Arabidopsis thaliana: one gene and its partner. The protein of the gene in region 1 interacts with the protein of each later gene in a pairwise test. Each region holds a gene or a part of one and is shown on either strand. Other genes may lie near its edges.

The links.
Region 2: the proteins of AT1G02870 (region 1) and NTRC interact in a two-hybrid assay, tested with the Arabidopsis thaliana proteins (one large-scale study listed by BioGRID).

Annotation. Positions count from the first base shown.
Region 1 is NC_003070.9:633,503-641,565, forward strand, and holds AT1G02870 (nucleolar-like protein), read right to left. Parts: upstream 5,180-8,063; 5' UTR 5,102-5,179; coding exon 4,756-5,101; intron 4,730-4,755; exon of another isoform or gene 4,270-4,729; intron 4,222-4,269; coding exon 4,100-4,221; intron 4,013-4,099; coding exon 3,899-4,012; 3' UTR 3,712-3,898; downstream 1-3,711. Other genes in the region: NLA (SPX (SYG1/Pho81/XPR1) domain-containing protein), read left to right, coding at 1,972-2,149, 2,237-2,484, 2,579-2,857, 3,090-3,227, 3,326-3,384, 3,476-3,581.
Region 2 is NC_003071.7:17,374,164-17,383,761, reverse strand, and holds NTRC (NADPH-dependent thioredoxin reductase C), read left to right. Parts: upstream 1-4,702; 5' UTR 4,703-4,733; coding exon 4,734-4,971; intron 4,972-5,063; coding exon 5,064-5,271; intron 5,272-5,360; coding exon 5,361-5,466; intron 5,467-5,566; coding exon 5,567-5,832; intron 5,833-6,196; coding exon 6,197-6,476; intron 6,477-6,581; coding exon 6,582-6,689; intron 6,690-6,765; coding exon 6,766-6,852; intron 6,853-6,941; coding exon 6,942-7,046; intron 7,047-7,142; coding exon 7,143-7,273; intron 7,274-7,352; coding exon 7,353-7,413; 3' UTR 7,414-7,584; downstream 7,585-9,598. Other genes in the region: ABCA1 (ATP-binding cassette A1), read left to right, coding at 69-202, 284-345, 442-523; HSFB3 (heat shock transcription factor B3), read right to left, coding at 1,185-1,622, 1,743-2,039; AT2G41670 (P-loop containing nucleoside triphosphate hydrolases superfamily protein), read right to left, coding at 7,585-7,863, 7,946-8,163, 8,366-8,462, 8,569-8,639, 8,816-8,957, 9,092-9,169, 9,262-9,366, 9,474-9,598. UniProt on the Arabidopsis thaliana protein: Thioredoxin reductase (TR) that exhibits both TR and thioredoxin (Trx) activities. Contains a C-terminal functional Trx domain.

The DNA of each region.
Region 1 (8,063 bases):
ACTTGTTTAATACGTTACACATCGTACATTGTTGTATTGTTAATTAGAATGTATAAGAAAATGATTGTATGCTAAGTTAGTAACCGTGTAATTCGAAAATATTTGACTAATGCGTATTTTCTGTTTTCCTTTTGAAAACATCAAATCCCACTGGCCACTAGGCCTTAAAATGATCATAACCAGTCGAATTGTATAAAACAAATGACCACTTGAGCAGACAAATGAATGGTGTGCCACTTTATTTTTGGAACTTTTGTCGATTCATTTGGAACTTTAAATTGATATTTTGGAGCTTTTCAAAAAGTAAATAGTGAATTGAAACGTTCAAACCTAGAACACTAGCAAGATGAAACATTATATGTTATCACATTACCTCATTATGTAGTAAGAAATAGTACAATTCATATAGCTTTCTATTAAACATTTAAAATGCAAGGGTTTAATGCATCACTATTACACCATTCAAATAAAGCTAAAAGAAATTAAAGTTTCAAAGTTAAATTTTCTTTGCCACTAGAGCATATACCTCTAATTTGTTTTGTTTTTTTTGTAAGATGAAAAAAAAATGTAAGCAAAGAAAAAAGGACAGTGGTGGGTGACTCTGGATGAAAAATGTTAGTGCAAAATCATGATACACATAGTAATAATTAAGGGGGTCGTAAAGTTAAAATAAACAAAATGCGCGGCTTGAAAATAATATAAAGCAGAGTTTTAGTGGCGAAATCCAATCCAAGTCAATTATAAGAGCATCTCCATGAGTAGTCTCTCACATAGTTTTTCATTAACTAAAAAATATAAAATAATAATAAAGTAGGAGAGAGATATGAGAGAGATTGAGAATAGTTTCTCTGCAGAGAAACTTTAGAATAATGATTGAGAGACTATGTGTATATATGTGTGTTTATTATTGGACATAAACTAAATCATAGTAAAATATTATTATATTTTTTTTTTGAGAGACTATGTGTATATATGTGTGTTTATTATTGGACATAAACTAAATCATAGTAAAATATTTTTTTTTTTTTTTTGAGAAACTTTTAAAGTATCTTACCAATGGAAATGGCCTAAACTTCCTAAAAAAATATATTATATTCTTAAAACTATTTCCAAGTTTCTAATTTGACCCCACAAAGGAGAAAAACCAACAAAAGGGCCCTTTCTGGTGGCATCTTTATCCCAAATTACACAGTGGTTTTCATATTTTATATATTATCTTTACATCAGAGTTTTTTTTTTCCCATCAACATGTATACGTAAAAGAAAACAACAAAAATTATAGCAAAATAACCCTTCTTGAATGGTAAAATATCTCGCAGATTTTATATCATAATTTTATATAGTTTACGATAATAAAGAAATGTGAGACTAAATAAATTCAACGAATAGGATATACACAGAATCCAGACTTTGGCATCCACGCGGCATAAAGAAATAGATCGAGTGTGATATACAACAAATCACAAATGTGCTCTCATTAATTTTAAAAAACCCAAATCTTTAATGTATTCGTAACGAGTCTGTCACTACATTAATAATAAGTCATTGAAATTGAAATCCACCAATAGTTGCACAGAAGAATTAATATATATTTCCATAACTCTCATAACACAAACTTCACCTTTTAACGAAGAAGAAGATATGTTCCCAAAACAAACGTTTTGACTTTTTTTTTGTTTTCTCATATTCTTTTATTTCACAACTTGTTATTTCCGCCGACTTCACCAGTCACCACCACCTTCATTTATTCATAAATACGTCTCTGTTCTGTTTTTGTTTCTGTTTCATTTTCATACATAATTAAGCCAACACGAGACGCAAGAGAGAGATAGGGAAAGAGATAAGAGCGACTCTGTTTTGTTGATCAAAATCCTTTTTTTTTGTTTGAGGGCTGAATTTGTTTGTTGATGGTCATCTAAATTTGTAACCTTTATCTGTTTTATTGAGTTGTGAAATTCAGAGAAAAAATAAATGAAGTTTTGTAAGAAGTATGAAGAGTACATGCAAGGACAGAAGGAGAAGAAGAATCTTCCTGGTGTTGGGTTTAAGAAACTCAAGAAGATTCTCAAGAGATGCAGGAGAAATCATGTTCCTTCTAGAATTTCTTTTACTGATGCAATCAACCACAATTGTTCTCGTGAATGCCCAGGTACTGTTCGACATAATTACCCTGTGAATGAATCATCATCCCCTGCTTTTCTCCTTTTGGTTTGAGAATTCAATATTGATTTTGTAGTTTGTGATGGGACTTTTTTCCCGGAGCTTCTCAAGGAAATGGAAGATGTTGTTGGATGGTTTAACGAGCATGCTCAGAAGCTTCTTGAGCTTCATTTAGCTTCTGGTTTTACAAAGTGTCTTACTTGGCTCAGAGGCAACAGTCGAAAAAAGGACCATCATGGTTTGATCCAAGAGGGTAAAGATTTGGTTAATTACGCTCTCATCAATGCCGTCGCCATTCGAAAAATCCTCAAGAAATATGACAAGGTTGATAATCATCTACTATTGTAAGATCCAAAGACTGATGATGGTCTTTTTAAGCACTTGTTTATTCAATATGTTTGGCATCTTTGTGTTGCAGATTCATGAGTCTAGGCAAGGACAAGCGTTTAAGACTCAGGTCCAGAAAATGCGAATAGAAATCCTTCAGTCACCGTGGCTCTGCGAGCTTATGGCGTTTCACATCAATCTGAAAGAATCTAAGAAGGAATCTGGAGCTACTATAACTTCTCCTCCTCCTCCTGTTCATGCATTGTTTGATGGTTGCGCTTTGACTTTCGACGATGGGAAGCCTTTACTTTCCTGCGAGCTCTCTGATTCCGTCAAAGTTGACATTGACTTGACTTGTTCAATATGCCTGGTAAGAAACTTAAGAAGAATCTCAATGTAGTTGACTTATTAGTAATCTGAAATATAGAAGAAAGTATCAGCCTATAGGGATAGAGTCTTAACTTTGTCGTGTCAAGGTGTTATTCCACTCTCCTCTTGCAGGTTCCACTTCAAAGACTAAGTCTTTAGCAATGAATATTTTTAAATGTAATGCTATTAATAAGTCTTTAACTTACGGATTACAATTGATTGGCGAAAAACAGGACACGGTGTTTGATCCAATATCTCTAACCTGCGGTCACATATATTGCTACATGTGTGCTTGCTCTGCTGCATCAGTAAACGTAGTTGATGGCTTGAAAACCGCAGAAGCAACTGAAAAATGCCCGCTTTGCCGTGAGGTTAGACACATTCTCCACTGCTAATTACGACTTAGTAGTCTACTAGTCTTCCTTGTTTTATGCACTAAATCTCTGTATTTTCGCCCATTCGATATCAGGATGGGGTTTATAAAGGTGCTGTTCACTTGGATGAGCTCAATATTTTACTTAAGCGAAGGTAAATGCATATACAACCATTCTTCTTTTAATCTTTAAAACCTGTCTCTAAAAAGACTGACTTACAATTTCCAAAACCTGCAATAATGCAGCTGCAGAGACTATTGGGAAGAAAGGCGTAAAACAGAGAGAGCAGAAAGGTTACAACAAGCAAAGGAATATTGGGATTACCAATGCCGAAGCTTCACTGGAATATGATATAGTTTGATTTGTGGCTTCTTAAGTGAGATTCTTGATTTTGATAATAAGATAGTAAAAATAATCTTAATTTTGATTTGCTTTCCTCTGTGAGTGTGTTTCCTTGCACAGAGAGTGACGATTTCTTTGTGAAAAAACTGAAAACTCTTAAGCATTAAATATGGTTTATAAGTTTGCATATGTCCTCTTCACCTCATAAAGATGCTTCTGAATAGAAAAAATACTGAATTCTGATTTATAGAAACTTCATAACCATTGTAGTGTTGTTGCAAGTTTATAACAAAATTGAACAAAGGATACAGAGATCATCATCATCATCATGAAACTAAAATCGGGTTCTTGTCTTTGTAAATCTGATATCTCGTACATAGCTTTCGAAGTGTTGCAACCGAATGCTGCATCGAGTTTAGCTTCCTGTCTCGGTACATGCCCTGTTCAAAGGAATAGATGTTAGAACTTAGAAAGAGTATCATCACACAGAGCAAAAATGATAGAATCAGTAGGATTATAGATCTAACCTCAATGTCATCACCATGTTTCTCCACCAAACGCCTTATATGTGTGCGTTGCATAGTGGTAAGCGGCTGTAAAGGAGCACTCTTTCCATCTTTTCTTTGCTTCCCCAATGCTGTCTTAAGATCTACACATCTCACAACAAAGCATTTCAACAATTAGTTACCACAAAAAGGAAACTTGCATCAACTCTGTAAATTGCTTAATAAACATAGTGATGAAAGAGTAATGAATCCAAAAGCTAATGAAGCAGATTCTTGCTTAATAACAGCTACATATAAATATTGTGTAGTTTTCATCAATGGCATCAACGTATATTCATGATTCTCTGTATATTTTGTCTACTAATATTGTAAGCTTGAGACAAGCATTTACAGAGATGATGATCAAGCAAACTAAGATTCTTCGTAGGTAAAATCAGTTTCATAGACATGAATTAGTAGAGAATCTGAAGCTTTACACAAGCATATCGTTAATGATGAACTAATGATGTTTGTTCCAAGAACTAAGATTCTTCATAGGTATAATTAGTTCTCCCAAATTCACCACTCCAAACCCTGATTTCTGCCCTAATTTCGAATTTCCTAAATACCAACTTCGAAAAACTAATCAATCCAGCGTGAATCTAAAATCGAATCAAAGACAGAGGAGAAAAACGTACCGTCTTCCTCAAGTTCGCTTCCAGAATCAATGGGCTCGAACTCCTTAGCAATAGGATCATCAGTCGGTGGCTCTACAGGTGGAGGAACGTTGAGGGAATCATCCTGAATCATATGGTCGGTACGAGCTCGGATACCAAGCAAATTAGGGTTAGAGATGACGCCAAAGGATTTGTAGTTCTGGATAACGCTAGCTTGATCGTCCCATTCAGGGACATCGTCTCCCATGAGAGCGCGGAGCTTGGGAGGGAAGTTGAAAGCTGGTTTAAAGATATTAGGGTTCTTCTTAGGAAGAGCAACGCGAACTTTAGCCCTAGAGTTCCTGTACTTTCTTCTCGACCTCGCCATCTCTCTCACTGATTTTTTATTTTCGCGATGGAGAAGAAAAAGCAGAGAGATGAAGTTCGCGGCGGAAAGGGTTTAACTACAAAGGGTTTACACGGTTCTCTAAAACGACGTCGTTCTGTTATTTACCTATTACAAATTATTTTAAACCGGTCGATGATATACGGTAATAGATACAATATTTGATTGGTTCAGTGGATCTTTTATAATTTTTTCACTGTAAATTTTGAAGTAAACTTATTCCAAAGAAAAGATTCATTTTTACAAAATTCGTATTTAGTACTCAAGGTTATGTGTGGATAAAAATCACATTCATTTATAATTTTAGATTTAACATACTCGTAAGAAGACTATTTTCTCAAAAATAATCACTCTCTAGGTAACTTTTGGTCCACAGATTCCGGTTTCGTGAAATCGTGCCTAGAGACAGAAAAAAAAGTTAGGGAGAACATAGAGCATCTCACAAACTCACTACAAGTCTACAATCGATGTGAGTGTTATACAAAAACCAAATGTGAACTCAACAATCCTAAGGATTCAAAATTTTGTGTAAATTACACAAAAATACAATAAATATTATAAAATTTTTTTAAAATAAAATAAAGATAAGTATTAAAAATTAAAAATTAAAATTAGATGTAAACTATATTGAACTTAAAACACCTCCTTCGAGGTTTTGATGTTATATCCAATTAGTTTACACAAAATTTAATAATTTAACATTTATAAGAAGTTTTATTAATATAAAAATATAGTGTTAAAATCATTTTTAAATATGGATGTTGTATCCAGTTTATACAAAATTTAAAAATTTAACACTTATAAGAAAAAACCTTATAGTTTAAAAACTTTATAGTTTTAATAGTAATAATATAAAAATATAGTTTTAAAAACATTTTTAAATAAATAAAAATAAGTGTTAAAAATTTAAATTAGGTATGAACCAATGACACTTCTTAGGAGTTTGGATGTTGTGTCCAATTAGATAACACAAAATTTAAAAATTTAACACTTATAAGAAAAAACTTGATAGTTTAAAAACCTTATAGTTTTAATAGTAGTAATATAAAATATAGTTTTAAAAACATTTTTAAATAAAATAAAAATAAGTGTTAAAAAGTTAAATTAAGTATAAACCATATTGAACCGATGACGCCTCTTAGGGGTTTGGACGTTGTGTCCAATTAGTTTACATAAAATTTAAAAATTTAACACATATAAGAAATTATTTATAGTTTAAAAACCTTATAGTTTTAATAGTAGACTAGTAGTAATACAAAATATAGTTTTAAAAACATTTTTGAATGAAATAAAAATAAGTGTTAAAAAGTTAAATTAATTGTAAACTATATATTGAACCGATGACGCGTCTTAGGGGTTTGGACGTTGTGTCCAATTAGTTTACACAAAATTTAAAATTTTAACACATATAATAAAAAACTTTATAAAGTTTTAATAGTAGTAATACAAAATATAGTTTTAAAAACATTTTTGAATGAAATAAAAATAAGTGTTAAAAAGTTAAATTAATTGTAAACTATATATTGAACCGATGACGCGTCTTAGGGGTTTGGACGTTGTGTCCAATTAGTTTACACAAAATTTAAAATTTTAACACATATAATAAAAAACTTTATAAAGTTTTAATAGTAGTAATATAAAATATAGTTTTAAAAACATTTTTGAATAAAATAAAAATAAGTGTTAAAAAGTTAAATTTAGTGTAAACCATATTGAACCGATGACGCCGCTTAGGGGTTTGGACGTTGTGTCCAATTAGTTTACACAAAATTTAAAAATTTAACACATATAAGAAAAACTTTATAGTTTAAAAACCTTATAGTTTGAATAGTAGTAATACAAAATATAGGTTTAAAAACATTTTTGAATAAAATAAAAATAAGTGTTAAAAAGTTAAATTAAGTGTAAACCATATTAAACCGATGACGCCGCTTAGGGATTTGGACGTTGTGTCCAATTAGTTTACACAAAATTTAAAAGTTTAACACATAAGAAAAAACCTTATAGTTTTAATAGTAGTAATACAAAATATAGTTTTAAAAACATTTTTGAATAAAATAAAAATAAGTGTTAAAAAGTTAAATTAAGTGTAAACTATATTAAAACGATGACGCCGCTTAGGGGTTTGGACGTTGTGTCCAATTAGTTTACACAAAATTTAAAAAATTTACACATATAAGAAAAAAATTTATAGTTTAAAAACCTTATAGTTTTAATAGTAATAATACAAAATATAGTTTTAATAGTAGTAATACAAAATATAGTTTTAAAAACATTTTTGAATAAAATAAAAATAAGTGTTAAAAGTTAAATTAAATGTAAACCATATTGAACCGATGACGCCGCTTAGGGGTTTGGACATTGTGTCCAATTAGTTTACACAAAATTTAAAAGTTTAACACATATAAGAAAAAACTTTATAGTTTAAAAACCTTATAGTTTTACTAGTAGTAATATAAAATATAGTTTTAAAAATATTTTTGAATAAAATAAAAATAAATGTTAAAAAATTAAATTAAGTGTAAATCATATTGAACCGATGACGCCTCTTAGGGGTATGGACGTTAACACTTATAAAAGAAAAACTTATAAAATTTAAAAATTTAACACTTATAAAAATTTACACAAAAATTTAAAATTTTAACATTTATAAAAATTTACACAAAAATTTTAACACTTATAAAAATTTAACAATTAGTTTACACAAAATTTTAAAATTTAACACTTATAAAAGAAAAACTTATAGTTTTAGTAAGAAAATAAAAAAGGGAGAAAAACAAAAATAAGAAAGGAGGAAAGTAAAATACCTTGTTGGGCTTGGGAAGCAAAAAGGGCCCAAAAAGCAAAGTCCATTCGAAAGCCTAATGTGGGTCCACCGTTCTCTTGTAGTTGTCTTCTCTCGTCAGAATTTTTTCTGATCTTCCGCTCGAAAAGTCCATTCGAA
Region 2 (9,598 bases), on another chromosome or scaffold:
TTTTTAGATTTGCCTTATTTCACGACTTGTAGCATAAATATATGTTTTATCCGTTTGATGCTGAACAGGTGGTATTCCACTTCCAATATTTGCCGAGTGGTGGCTAACCAAAGAAAAGTTCTCAGCATTGGATTCTTTCATACAATCTTCGTTTCCCGGTGCAACATTCAAAAGCTGCAATGGACTGAGTATCAAGTACCAGGTAAATTATTAAACACAAAATCTATTGGCTCTAAGATTACTCTTGGACTAGTGCTCCATATTTGTCTCTCTTGGGTTGCAGTTGCCATTTGGAGAAGGAGGATTGTCACTTGCGGATGCCTTTGGACATCTTGAAAGAAACCGGTAAGACATTCTTCTTTTAACTGTTTCTTCTCCATGATCCACACAACATCAGTCTTTGTAAGTCTGAGGAAAGAAATTTGCTTCATTCTATGGCAGGAATCGGCTGGGAATAGCTGAATACAGTATAAGTCAATCCACACTTGAGACCATATTCAATCATTTTGCAGCTAACTCATAGCCAGTGAAACCATTATTGCGGCTTGTACAACAAAAACCCTTTGTGACCATAGCCCAAAGAGAGATCTGATCACTTATTATAATCTCATCTGCGTACTCAACATAGTTGTAAATATGACATATACATGAGAAACCTGTGGTCTTAATGTCTATATACATGATGCCTCATATTTTATCTTCCATCAACTAAAAATCTGGAAAAAACCCTAATGTGCCGTATGTTCTGGCCTAAATTCGAAATAAGAGAATGCCAATCTTTTACTTCTAGTTCTAGGCCTGCTTTGAGAGTTGAAAGTTGAGAGTTGAGATTTACCAAAATTCAACCATTTTGCAGCTAGTGATACCATTATTAACGCGGCTTACATAACCAAAATCATCCTGACCACAGCCCAAAGTGAGATGTAACTCATCTCATCTACCCAAAATAGTTTTAAATTTCGCAAATACATGAGAAAACGTTCTCTTAGTTAATGGCTATATATATACACACGATGTACCATGTTATGAACACGAGACTTAACCAATACAGCAAAGAATCCGATATTTCTCGGACATATGTTCTGATCTTGCATGTCTTAAAAGAGTACTATATATAGTTATGCAAAACTTCTAAGAATATGAAGAAACTGGTATATTACGAATATCAATCTAGCAATCTAGTTTCATTCAAGTTTTACTCCGAACAACTTAAGCCCTTCATCTTCTTCATCATCACTTTCATCAGTTGCATCTTCGTCTTCTCCTCTGTATCTCTCCACCAACTCCATAAGCTGCTTGCATTTCTTCTTGGTTTTCCCAAGTTCGCAGCTTAATAACTCGTTTTCATTCTTCAAGCATTTGTTTTCGTCGAGTAATGCAGTGTATACGAAAGAGGATGAAGTGGCGGAAGACTGTTGATCCTCATGGTGATGATCAATCCCAATCCGTTGATGACCTTCTTGATTCACCATCGTTGTTGTTGGTACAACCTGGTGATTAGACTTGTTGTGTGACCAATGTTGGCTCTTCCTTCTTCGGATATTGCTCATAAGCTCTCTTTGCCCCTTTCGAAACATCTCATTACTAAATTCCCATCTTATCGTCGTTACTTTTCGAAAACCCTATAATATTTTTGTAACAACACTCATTAATGCCTTTAATTAAGCAAATACACTTAGTAAACTCAAAGAAACACAAATAGTTTAAAATACTGATTGAAACAGTGAAGCATATATACGTACGTAAGTATTGAGCTGGCGAACGAAGCTAGAGAAGTTGCAATGCTTGAAAAGTGTTGGTAACAGATCTCTAGCGAATTCTGCCGGCTGCCACACGACGAAACCAGTTCCGTATTCGTTCCAAGATATAACCCCGTCCGTCGTCGGATCCTCCACCACTTTGTATGTCTTTACCAAGAACGGTGGAGGCGGCTGTAGCTCCGCCGTGGATGTTGAGTTTCCGATCATAAACTCCAATGGCAAACGCTCCTCGTCGTTAACGTTATCGTTACACCGTAAATGTTCACCAGCATCTTCCATATATAAAACGAAAATTATTATTCTTGAAGAAAACAAGTAGTAGAAGATCTCAAACTAGAAAGACGTAACACGACTCCATAGAAAGAGATAGAGACGTTATTTAATTTAATTAGGTGGTTGAGACAATAATAGAAATACTTTAACAAAAGAAAACAATAATAGAAATACTTTGAACAATTTTCAAGGAACGTACGCTTCTAACTATTTACATATTCTATAGAATATGTAACTCTAACACTAACATGCATATAATCATGATGCATACACACACACACGATTGTGTTTGTAAATATATTTTTCTTATATCAAATGAAAATCGATGTTTGATGACAATATGACATGTAATTTTTCAGGTTTGAAACCAACCATCGATAATATTTACGTCGAATCCACTATACGACATAACTCTTTTTTTTCTCAAACACAACGCTCGTCTCTAACATGTATAACTAACGACATTTTGCTTTTAATTTTAGAATGATATTGGATTACTTTACCCCCAAAAAAACTGATATCAACTTAATTTGTATAGTTGATATTTAGTACTGGTCTTAAGTTTTTCAGGGAAACTGCAGTAGTCGTTGCTTTTACCAACCGAGCTATATTGTCAATATAATTTTAGTTGTAACGTGTGTGTTTGATTAGACGTATAGGAAACAAACGAAAAATGATTTTAAAAAAAATATTAATCACGAGGTATATATGTGAATACACATATATTAATGTATGTTGGTAAAATTGGATATTGTGATATGAAGCAACTCGTTTGGACCCCCTTTAGGTGAGGTGGTACTATCAATTTACGAAACGCAAATCATGCATATTATTCATCATGTCTACCTATATTTGTAAGATTTAGTTTTCTCTAATGATTAATCAAGTACTATCATTAGTAAAATCTCTCGAATATATAATATGGATTGCAAAAATATCACATTAATTACCAATCTTTTTTTCTCTATAAAGTACCAGTTAAAATACCACATAGCAGAAGTTATATTCTTAAACAGATCGTTTTCTAAATTTCATGTTAAATTATATTCAAAGTACAAATCTTTTGTAATGGTATTTTTAAAAATGATTATAAACTTGATATTTCATATAGTTAGTTTTGTTGTTTTGTAGGATCATGTAAATTGCTCGTTTTTCAAAATTGATGACTATCTATCTTTTTGACTATACATGCTTTGTCTAATTGTATGTTACTTTCGACACCTTAATTTGTTGATAATATATAAACAAGTGCTTAAAAGAGTATATATAGAAAAAGTAAGGGGGTTCAGTTGATCTGAATGGAAAGTTAAAAAAGTGATCATTCATCACGGTCGAATTTGATCATATATATAAGTTTATGGTAACGTATAACGGTAAAAGCCAGTAAATTTATAGAAGGAATTCCAAATTAAATAATTCTTTAAAATTTCAGTTGAATAAAAGTTCCCAAAGTTAAAATCTTTTTTTTTTTCCAAGACATAATCAAGTAACTTAAGTAAATGTCGGTTTTAGCACAATAATGCAAGAAAGGAAACCTTTAGATCTCTATTGGTCAAAGTAGGGGACAGTGATGTAATTCAAGTCATCGATCTACTGACTACTGGTGTTTGAAGGGGATTACCGACAATGTTCCTATGACGGCGCGTACCTTCCACGCGTCTGTAAAAGAGAGAGACAACTAATAATACAAATCCTAACGCTTAAGCTCTACTATATCGTTTTAACAGTAGTGATCCATATATATGTCCTGTTGAAATTATTTGTTGAACAATAAGATTAAGGGATCACAAAACTACTCCAGCATATACTACTTGGATATGTAGCTCTTGTAAGGCTTAATTTAGATGGTAAGATATAAACATCGAATTTAAGAATAGTCATCAAGAACAGCTTAGGAAACTTCAAATGGCAGATCGAATTTGGATGACAAGTAAGAACACGGTGGGGGGGTTTTTTTTTAACCATAAAGTTATGCTTAACGTTTAGTGATGTGGCTTCCTAACGAATCTATACAACATCAAGTCATCAAATGTAAGTACATTTTGTTGACTAAAACATTGGAAGTGCATGGAATTCAGACACTAGACTAAAGATAAAGATCCTTGCTTTCATTGGGCTGCTCTTTTTTGGTCAGCTTAACTTTTTGACTTAAGAAAAAATAGTCTGTCACCTTCCCTCACCAACTCCTAGTTCATTTCATTTCCACTTCAACCTCTTCAGAACTAAGTAAACTATATAGTCTTCGCATTTAGCTAGTTATGCTTTATAAATTATTAGTACTAACTTTTTGGCGAAGCAATCCGCACACAGATTAGCCCATTTTCCGGTGGGTTTAAGAATCTTCGTCGTGACTAAATATTCAGTACCAAAACAGGCCCATTTATGGCCCAATATAAAAAGCGTCGTCCGTCCACTTAAACTCTTGGCGATCTTTCCCACTTAAAAAAAAAGCGATTGGCTTATCCCTCCGTTGAAAAGACGAAGTAAAATCAGTCAAAACACATCTCCACCGTTCAGTCGCTTCATCACATATATCCAACGGCTGAAAATCATCTAAGCCTGTGGACTTGGAAGCAAAGAGATAATGCTGAGGCGCGTGAGGCACAGTCGCCAACAGAAAATCGGGATGTTTTTTTTTAACTGCAAAGCCAAAGAGACAATTGTATGGTCTCTGGTAAAGGTAAGGCAATCAAAAAAAATATGGCTGCGTCTCCCAAGATAGGCATCGGTATTGCCTCCGTCTCATCGCCTCACCGTGTCTCCGCCGCCTCATCCGCTCTTTCTCCTCCTCCTCATCTCTTCTTTCTCACTACTACTACTACCACACGTCACGGCGGCTCCTATCTCCTCCGTCAACCAACCCGAACTCGCTCTTCTGATTCCCTCCGCCTCAGAGTCTCCGCCACCGCCAATTCTCCGTCTTCTTCTTCTTCAGGAGGTACTTGAGGAGTTCCTCTTTGCTTCTTTCTTAAGGTTTTTGGCAGTGTAAGTAATCGAGCTCTGTGTTGGTTTTTTAATAATTAATTGCAGGCGAGATTATCGAGAATGTAGTGATTATAGGCTCCGGTCCCGCCGGTTATACGGCGGCGATATATGCAGCGCGCGCCAATTTGAAGCCGGTGGTTTTTGAAGGGTATCAGATGGGCGGAGTTCCCGGTGGACAGTTGATGACAACTACTGAAGTTGAGAATTTTCCGGGATTCCCAGACGGTATCACGGGTCCCGATTTAATGGAGAAGTGAGCTATAACATAGTCTGATTCTTTTGTTAGTTTGTGGCGTTTCTTATATGTTTCTGATGCAATTATTTATTGTGTGAAAATTGTAGAATGAGAAAGCAAGCAGAGAGGTGGGGAGCAGAGTTGTATCCAGAAGATGTTGAATCTCTTAGTGTCACAACTGCTCCTTTTACTGTGCAAACTAGTGAACGTAAGGTGATTATCTTTCTTTGTTTTCTCACTATTTCTTTTTCAAATTCTAAATAGTTTTTTTTTTTTGGCTTCAGCTCTCTTCTGATGTTTCCATTTTTTATAGGTCAAGTGCCATAGTATTATATATGCCACTGGCGCTACAGCAAGGAGGTTAAGGTTACCTCGAGAGGAAGAATTCTGGAGTAGGGGGATAAGTGCTTGTGCTATCTGTGATGGAGCTTCGCCTTTATTTAAGGGGCAAGTACTTGCCGTGGTTGGAGGAGGAGATACGGCTACAGAGGAAGCCTTGTATCTCACGAAATATGCCCGTCATGTTCATTTGCTTGTTCGCAGAGATCAGTTGAGAGCTTCCAAGGCTATGCAAGATAGGTGAGTTCTTATATTCATCACGTCTGCCTTATATTCTACTCCTCTTCTTTGATTTCTGAAGATAAACAGTTAAAACTAGATAAATGCTATGTCCAAACTAGGAAATGTGTTTTGTCATAGCTATGTTGAGCGTTCTTTGTTGCATGTATTGACTGCTATCCCCTGTTCCCTCGCAAATCCATTGGATATATCTGGGAAAGCCTTTGGTTATGATTTCCGTTGCATGTAAATTTATAACCAACCAGTAGAGTGCTTTTTTTTTTTGCTGGCTATCGGAATTATAGACTAATGAGCACAACGTAAGTTGAGTCTTTTCAACACCCTGAGTGTTTTTTTAACAGGTTGGTTATGGCGAATGTTTCAGAGTGATCAACAATCCAAACATCACAGTGCATTACAACACGGAAACCGTGGACGTATTGAGCAACACCAAGGGACAGATGTCTGGCATTCTACTCAGAAGACTTGATACGGGTGAAGAAACTGAGCTGGAGGCAAAAGGATTGTTTTATGGAATAGGGCATTCGCCAAACAGTCAGTTATTGGAAGGCCAAGTCGAACTCGACAGCTCCGGGTACGTCTTGGTTCGGGAAGGAACATCAAATACATCAGTTGAAGGTGTATTTGCTGCAGGAGATGTGCAGGTATTCTTCGGAACTTTTAGCAATTTTTCGGTGTTGGTATTAACTCTTTTAAGTCATATTGGTTCGATAATTGTGTTTGCTATATTCTCCTATTTGTCACTCTAGGACCACGAATGGAGACAAGCTGTAACTGCTGCTGGATCAGGATGCATAGCTGCTTTGTCAGCCGAGAGATACCTCACAAGTAACAATCTTCTTGTTGAATTTCACCAGGTAGGAAATATTCAGAAATATCTTATCTCTTAAGCACACGTCACAAGGCTTACTCTCTTTCATGTTCACGTTACAGCCTCAAACTGAAGAGGCCAAGAAAGAATTCACACAACGGGATGTCCAAGAAAAGTTTGACATCACTCTTACAAAGCACAAGGGACAGGTTTGTTAACATATGAACCTTAACTTGTTACCTACAAGCATTTTCTCTGCCTCACATCTTTCTCCTTATGTTTTTTCCCCTGCTTTCAGTATGCTCTTAGAAAACTATACCATGAGAGTCCAAGAGTTATATTGGTACTATACACTTCACCAACATGTGGCCCCTGTAGGACTCTGAAGCCTATTTTGAACAAGGTATTCCTTTATTAGTCGAAATGAAACTCATCGGAAGAGATCTTTTTGGACTGATTTACTTGACCATTTGTTCACTTCTCCTTCATTTTGTTTCAGGTGGTCGATGAGTATAACCATGATGTGCATTTTGTTGAGATTGACATCGAGGAAGATCAAGAAATTGCTGAAGCAGCTGGAATTATGGGAACCCCATGTGTGCAGTTCTTCAAGAACAAGGAAATGCTCAGGTTAGGAAACGTTCTCTCAGTTTTAAAATTGCATAGATTATTGTGTTCAGGTTTGGCTAAAGATTCCGAGTCTGTGTAGGACTATATCGGGTGTGAAGATGAAGAAAGAGTACCGAGAATTCATTGAGGCCAATAAATGAGGACACCAGATAGATATTGTTTCTGGCAGATGCCAAATCTTATCATGATTCAATTTTGTTCATTCAAATACTTTGGAGTTACTGGAGCAACGCCATTGAATCTCAAATGTAAACAAATAGAATCATCATCTTAAGCTGCACGCATAATGTGGTACAATTTGCTTTAAGATTTTACAAAACAACTACCCGTTTTGAATTGGGGTGGTCAGTTTCAGTTTCAGGGACATCGTCAAGGATAAAGGGACCAAGTCTACCTGTCCTAAACAAAGTAAGAAATTTCTTGGAGACCATTAACCTTGCTTCGGATGCTTTGTGAGGAATCTTCAATGCCTTTTGTAGAACTTCAAACTGTTGCTCTATCAAACATTCTAAATCATTCTCATCCTCCGTGTCCCCATCAAATTCTGAGAGTGTTATATACAGTGATCGTTGCACTTCTGAAATCATATCCTGTAGATGACAGGGAACCTTTCATTGGTCAGGACAATTTCAGAAGGAAAGCAAGGTAGAGATATAAGGTTATTATGCTAACCCCGACATAGTGCAGAGCAGATGAATCTGGTTGTTTGGTTCTCTGGTGTCGAAGATCCTTTAAGTTATAGCTTGGCTTATCGATGCAGTCTGCATGAGGCCCTTCGTTTATTCCCTCAACTAAGTACTTCCAATGAAGAGGAGTCCCTCGAATGTTTAGAATAGCTAGAAAGTATTGTGCAATCCGCTCTTCACCCACTACTGAATCTTTAACGGACCCTTAGAATGTCAAACGCATAACAATTAGCTAGAGAGATCATATGCTGTAAGAAATACGGCCCTATATTAGAGAAAAACTAAGAACTGAGATTATAAGACCTAAACTGTATCATCATTTGATGAACTAAATCTAGTGTACGGGTTTACACGATCTAGCACCAAGAAGAAAGAAGAGAAAGGAGATAAAGATATAGATAAGAACCTGAAAGAGCAAGCTTCAAACCGGTTTCGATATCAGGGATACTTGGAACCAACACACCAGGGGAGTCTAGAACATATATACTAGGTCGATGAGCAATCTGTACCACAGAACATTTTCATCATGTGTTCAAAAATCATGCTGAAGCAAATCCACAAACAATTAACAGGCATACGGAAAAAAGAGGATTTTCAAATAAAGATTACCTTGAAACCAGCAATATCTTGTGTTACACCAGGCAATGGACCAACCGTAGCTCTCTTTAATCTCTCCTGCACTATGCACATAATGCATACAATAACGAAATAAGCCACGTTACATTTCATTCATCATTCTGTTCATGAAATAATTAACTTGTAAGTTTAAGTTTGGAGAAATCGGATTCACAGTCCGGACTATATCTGTGAAATGTGTACTCAACACTGCTGATAAGCTGAGACACCAATATCTTACCCGGAAAACGAGCTGCTGCAATTTGATGGATCGAGTTAATGAGCGCAGATTTTCCAACATTGGGGACACCAACCACCATTACAAGTAAAGTAGGCTCCCTAGCAATCACTTCTTTGAGCTTCAACTCCACGAGATCAAGCAGCTACATACGAAAAATTATGCAAAGAAGGTAACTTTTCAATGCGCAGTAGTAGAAAATCCTCATCAAATTATATGTGTGAAGAAACTATAACTGGTTTTAACACACCAACCTAAATGTAAAGAGGATCATCTAACCTTCATGACAGAGCTTCTGCTATGAGCATTAATGGCAATACAATCTTGCTTGCTGGATTCGAAATGACGAGTCCATTTCTATAAATTGCATAAAAATTCAGAAACTCAACCTCACAGAGACTAACAAGAGGTTAAAGAAAGACAAAGGTTCACACAAAAAAACGAATTACATTGAGAACATTAGGGTTTGCTAAATCTTTCTTATTCAGAGCAATGATACGTCTCTTAGCTGACATTTGGGATTGTAGATCTTCGTTCGCCGATGACAGAGGAATCTGCAAAAATACCCAAAAACAAAGACAACGACAATTCAGATTATTCCTTCCACGATGATAAAGGGATCGAATATAAAGAGAGATAGTGTGAGTGAGTGTTTACAGACACGAGCATCGCGAACTTCGATAACGAGATCGGAGAGCTTGAGGCGGTTACGAATGGCGCGAGTAGCTGCAGCCATATGACCGGGAAACCAATTGATTTTTCCGGCGTCTTTAGCGAAGCTCATTC